2 linked regions of the Bombyx mori genome follow. Each later gene encodes a partner of the first gene's protein in a complex. Links are inferred from orthologs where the notes say so. Each region holds a gene or a part of one and is shown in the gene's direction. Other genes may lie near its edges.

Evidence for each region.
Region 2: vam6/Vps39-like protein (region 1) and vacuolar protein sorting-associated protein 33A share a complex: the UniProt entries of both Drosophila melanogaster proteins name them as parts of the homotypic fusion and vacuole protein sorting (HOPS) complex. The link is inferred for Bombyx mori from reciprocal best matches to the Drosophila melanogaster genes Vps39 and car.

What each region holds. Positions count from the first base shown.
Region 1 is NC_085124.1:8,489,232-8,493,471, reverse strand, and holds the start of vam6/Vps39-like protein, read left to right. Parts: upstream 1-1,440; 5' UTR 1,441-1,755; coding exon 1,756-1,825; intron 1,826-4,240. UniProt on the Drosophila melanogaster protein: Part of the homotypic fusion and vacuole protein sorting (HOPS) tethering complex involved in endo-lysosomal vesicle trafficking and lysosome biogenesis.
Region 2 is NC_085122.1:6,418,093-6,420,351, forward strand, and holds the end of vacuolar protein sorting-associated protein 33A, read left to right. Parts: intron 1-830; coding exon 831-1,114; 3' UTR 1,115-1,759; downstream 1,760-2,259. Other genes in the region: exocyst complex component 8, read right to left, coding at 1,993-2,259. UniProt on the Drosophila melanogaster protein: Core component of the class C core vacuole/endosome tethering (CORVET) and the homotypic fusion and vacuole protein sorting (HOPS) tethering complexes involved in endo-lysosomal vesicle trafficking and lysosome biogenesis.

The sequences.
Region 1 (4,240 bases):
TTGTATTGGTGGGAAGAGCTGGATTGGAGCTGTCTGAATTGAATTACATTGTCAATTCGGTGTTTTTCAGGAATAAATGTATAAATGATAATGGCTTAAAAAAATAAAGAAATTTACCGATTAAATTGCTTATTTATAATGGTATGCTACGGCCTCGGGCCTGTTACCAAAATGCCTCTAAGAATACTATGCGAAAAGTTGCCATTTTGTAGAAATATATATATATAGAATTGAAACGGAGGTTGTGGCGATTTTATCATGTTCGGCGTCCCAAGGACATTTCAATTTTTTTCCAATTTATTATAACAGTTGAGGTTCGCTTGTTTCGTATATGAATTTGAGCGCACAGTACTTGTAAGCACGGCTTCTAGCTTCGACTGGTATAAAGGCGGAAAAACATTAATAAAACACGACGTGACGCAACGTGTTGATACGACACCCGATATGCACCGTGCACATTACCAACACGCGACGCCACGACATATGTACTAACAATTTCTGCAATTAGTTAGCTAACAGCAGTGGAAGTGTATGGATAAGTACTATGGATTTAATAAATAACGATTTAGATAAAGACTTTGAAGAAGGTCCGATGCAAATTTTGGGTACATATTATAATATGATATTTAAACGACTCGAATAACTAGGCGTTACTGGGTGTCTGAAATAAATGTACTCCTCATTGTATGATTTTGGAACGAAGTTCCTTACGGCAGGCTTGGAGGGGATAGGGATTTTGCTGCGTGACCGAACTGAAAAAAATGTGATAATAAAACCGTAAGAAAAAATCCGTGGAAAAAAGTGCGTGGAATAAAACCGTTAAATGAGACGTGCGCAGGCGCGACAGTCGCATACACAAGCGAGTAGTGTATAATACCTTTCTCTTTCTCCCTCTTTCTTTTCGTTCTCTCATCCATTCTCTTTCTATTATTTTTTCTATTTTCTATTTCTATGTAATTTTATGTTGTCAAACAAAAATAAAGAGACATATTTTGTTATTTTAGTTGATAATTTGAATTACGATGTTTTTTTATTTTAAGTAATTTATTATTTCCTAAAATATTGAATTTCCTAAATACTTTCTTGTACTTAAATAAAAACTAATCAGGAAAATTTAAGAGAAAAATCAAGAAAACCTACATAAAATTGAGCACGATTTTTTTTGCAATTTGTGTCGATTCTACATTAGCCGAAGGAATTTCGTTCCTACCTGGTGTCCCACGACACCATAATATAATTTTTATACTTTTTTTATTTATTGCTTTTGGTAAAAAAATTGTTACTAAAGACATTATTTCCTCCGGTTTTTGAGGATCGTAGACATAATTGAAACTATTTTTACGGCTTAATTTCTCGTTATTAATTTAATTTCTATCCAGGCTACTTCCCTTTGCCTGCTTAGATGAAAAATAGGCATTATGTCAGATTTACTAGAATGTCACACACATTTATTTGTCATAATTGTAAACCTACCAAAACTTATGTATTCATACATTGCTTGTCATCATTCATAAAAATATTATTTTTTGTTTCTACTTGGTATTTACAAAAGCTTAATGTAATAAACCATAATATATCCTCCGCTTGTAGATGCACCAAATTCACTTTTGGCAATTTTATTATGGGTATTCGAAAAAAAAAGGATCTTGATAAACACAAAGTCATAGTTTCCTACGAAATGGGAGGATTCAGATTCGTGTAAGGTTTTCATCTAAACGAAATTGTTTTGTTGTTTTAATTACAAAATTGTGTAAAATGCACGAAGCGTATGAAGTTTCACATCTGCTTAATGCCACCGTGCAGATCGAAGCAATAGCTGCATTCGGTAAGATATATATACATTTTAAACAGTTTAACATATTATTTAATAAAACTTGAACAGCTTCATCTCAGATTGATTACTTTCAAATAATATGGTTTGCACTTATCTAGCACTTAGATGGAGATGAAACCTTGAAAAAAATGTCAGACTTCAAAGTACCTTGTTTTCTGTAAGCAAATAAATAAACATGTTATAATAACCGGCAAACTTCTTGAGCATTTGTTGACGTAGTGGGGGTAAGTTTGCGCATGGTACACTCACGTGCAATAACATTACTTACTCTGCGTCATAAGGCTATTAAAATTATTAAAATCAACATATGTATTTATTTATTAGAACATCAACAAAACATATAGGTTAATAATTGTAATAATTTAATCTTGGGGTAAAATAGATATTCCTTCTATTAAGTCAAAACTAGAGCTGTTGCCAGGTCTTGGTTCAGTTGAAGCGAAGCTGGTATTTGTATTTTCTTTTTCGTTATCATAATCTTGACCATCATCATCATCACTGTTTTCATCACCCGAGTCGCTATCATCGTGATGAGTCGACATAGGGCTCATCGGCGTAGTTTACAACTCGGTCGATTCGGTCTTCTTTTTTGTCTATAATTAATTATTTTTTGAAGATATTCGATTCGTAGTAATCGAATGTTACTTTTTTCATTTACCAGCTTCCGATTATTTTCTGTTCTTTTTTCCATCTGAAGCCTAGTTCTTTCATAATTCGTCGTAAGCTTCATTCCGAGCCATTCAAATTTATATCTTCTTTAAATTTTTCGAAGCCTTTCTACGGTACGGAGTTTCGCTGCTTGTTATGTAGTTATTATGATTACATCTTTTTATTACAGATTGAACGAAACTATCCATTCCGGTAACTTTCTTCTTCCCTGATCTTTTCTTACCCGGAGTCCGCAACACGGCGAGCAAGCCAGAGCCTTTAGCTTCGTTAATAATGCACCTAACAGTACTCACTGATGTTTTTGTTGCTTCCGAAGTCTGTTTTAATTTTTCCATATCATTCTTCCCCTGTTTTATAATGAAGCAATATACGTCGTACACAAATTTTCTACCCTTTCTTTTAAGTACTACACCAGTTTGTCACGGCATAGTGTATGTGTAGTGTATTAGTGAGGGTACTTGTTCTCCTTTTAATAAAAGGATTGCTAAGTGCGGGTTGCATAAAGACAGACACACAATGAACTGATTTGTTACCGAACACATGTGCTTAAGTTCTTGATTAAATAATAAAACATAATATTGGCGACGATCGTAAAATACTAATATGGAGCGTAAATCAGTAAAATTCCAAGAATTTAATGTAAAATCGGATAATTGGGACAGTTATATTGACAGACTAAAATATTGTTTTGAGGCAAATGGAATCGAAAGTGATACTGTTAAAAAGGCTAATTTCTTTACTGTGTGTGGTGCTGAAGTGGTCGAAACTGTTCTCGCGTTAATTACACCAAGAAAATCTAGTGATGTGACTTTTGTTGAAATTGAAAACATTCTAACCAAACATTACAGTCCGAAACCAAATGAAATTTCTATGTCATACAAATTCTACAAACGAGATCAGGCACCAAACGAATTGGCTTCTGATTATATTGCTACGTTACGCAAAATTAGTTCGGGATGCAATTTTATTGAATTAGAACGTATGCTTCGAGATAGACTGGTGTGCGGCATGAGCGATCATAAGCTTCAGTATGAGTTGTTGAAGAGAGAACAACTTCGTTATGAAGATGTTGTACATGCTATGGTATCATCGGAGAGCGCCGGAAAGGATGTGCGCATGATTCAAAGCACGAGCACGGACACATTTGGTATGACACAGGGTGAGGTAGTGACGTCACATGCCGAGCCTATGGAAGTGAATGTCGTCAATTTCAAACGTAATTTTCGACTGTGCTATCGCTGCGGAGACCGACACGGTGGAGAGTGTCGATATATTAATTCAATTTGTCATTAGTGTAAGAAAAAAGGGCATATTGAAAAGATATGTACATCTAAGAAAAACAACAAAAGAAAGAGCATTAACTATACAGATGATGAATTTCAAGCGCAATTAAATGGTATTTACAACGTGAACACAAATAGTCGGCGCGTACCAGCTTACGAAGTAAATGTGTTACTAGATGGTGTACCAGTGATTATGGAAGTGGACTCGGGTGCTGCCTACTCTCTTGTGAATTTACATACGTGGCGTCGAATACACTCTCACATGCCTTTGGAACCTTTGATGAATAAATTATGTACTTGGAATAATTCTGCAGTCAGAGTGGACGGTCAAGCCACAGTGCTAGTACAATATAAAGACATTAAATGTTCTCTTAAGGTTATTGTGGCTCAGGGTTCGGGTCCAAATTTGTTAGGACGTAATTGGTTTGAAGCTTTAGGAATATGTGTAAATGTA
Region 2 (2,259 bases), on another chromosome or scaffold:
CATTAGTAAAATTCACTTTAAACCGTAAAACTAGTTTTAATTATGATATTTATATGATAGTTGAGTATTTAGGAATATAAGTAATAATAACACTATTAAATTATGCTTAAAAAAAAAATTAATTCAATTATTAAGAACTGGAAATCAATGTGAAATAATAATTGAAAATAAAACACATAATAATAATAATAAAATGTGCCCACACATACATAGCCACACACACATAAACCAACATATAAGCTAACATAAACACGCATAAGTAGTGATAATAATATTGTTTATCTAAATTTGACATTGATCCATGTTTATTTCTGTTTCTATTCATTTCTTTTTTTTACTATAATCAATTTTATGATTTCAATAAAGGCGGAAGACCTGAATATACCTTCAAGCGTTTTATTCATTTTAATGGATAATTTCAGCTCCACTTCTGTGTGCATTATAAGAGAGTGCATTTACTAAAAACAAACGTATAGGTATCATACTACCGACCCGCCCTCGCTTCGCTTCGGAAACTGTAATTTATTATTGATTTCTCCACTATTTAATGGATGTTATTATACATATAAACCTTCCTCTTCAATCACTCTATCTATTAAAAAAAACCGCATCAAAATCCATTGCGTAGTTTTAAAGATTTAAGCATACATAGGGATATAGGGACAGAGAAAGCGACTTTGTTTTATACTATGTAGTGATGCTCAGTGGTGAGATTAAAGGTAGCCTAGTCTTTACAAAGAGGCGAACTATTTCATTATCAAATTTCGTCAAAATCGGTTCAGTGGTCTGAGTGTGAAGACGTAACAAATACGACAATTATACTTTCACAGGTATCCAAGACGTATTAGGCCTCCTGCCGGGCCCTACAGTGGACGAGCTACAAACCCTACAACCTCGTATGACACGTCGCCATTCCGGTTCCAGTGAGAATTCATCATCAATAGAAAACCCACGGGTCGTGCTCGTATTCTTCATTGGAGGCTGTACGTACCACGAGATCTCAGTGCTCAGGACGATCAGCCAGCAGGAAGATTCGGTTGTGGAATTTGTTATCTTAACCACTAAAATAATCAATGGAACCACATTCATAGAATCTTTAATGGAACTCGATTGAGCCAAAAATTGGTGTATCCTTAACATAGGATATAATAATATATTAATATACATTCTGTCATATTAAAAAGAAATAGACTGAATCATATTTTTATTCAATTATGAAATAATGTCATGAATTTATTTTTATGACATAATAGTGTTCCAAATAAAAACAAGCCCAAATAGTATAGATGTCAAATTATATCCCTTTTATATGTAATTATGTCAAAAAATATATGAAATAAATTAATTGCAAACGTAAAATAAATTTTCAATACACAAAGCATGAAACATATAATATTAACTGATAAATGTACACAATGTATCATATAATTTGCTGTATTCTATGATATTTCTTGCTTAAAAAGTTCCTGTATTTACAAATTTAGAATACACCAAAAATATTATTCTGGTAAATATTATTATTATTATTTAAAATATAGATTCTTTTTTTAATATATCACATTAAATATAAGTCTCTGTTTGTTTTATTGTTATAGATGTGTAAATAATTAAATTGTAATACAATTAGGTTTAGTTGCTTCATGTATTTTATTGCTTCAATTTGCTGTTAAATATGGGCGAAGAAATGATAATTTCTCTAGTTATATTTTGTAACATGCAAAATTGACTGCACTAGTAATAAAAATCATAATACTGGAAATATATTTTATTCTTGTCTTTACAATTTCAAAGAACACTTAAACAGATCACCATAAATAATGATTGTATTAAAACTTAATATTCGTAACTTGCATATACATAAAATTTAATTTGATCAGTATTTATATAAACTAACATAATTCTGCTTGCTTACTCTCTATTATATTACAAATTTAAAGCTTCAGCATAATATAAATAATTTCATACATCTTATTTATAGACTATTGACTATTCTCATAAATATTCATTACTTGTGTATTTTGTGATGTTTTTGGATGGTGTAATACTGACACCATAGTTCTTTGCCAAAGCTACTAATTTCTCATTATCATAGCCAACTTCTTCTTTATAACATCTAAGCATTAAAGGCATCACTGTTTCTAAAATGAATTTGAAATTCTTCTTTGCATAACTAATATCGTTGACTGATGCGAGGACAAGCCATGAATTGAATATTGTATAAATGTATTCATCAAGGTTATCCATCATATCTTTGTTCAC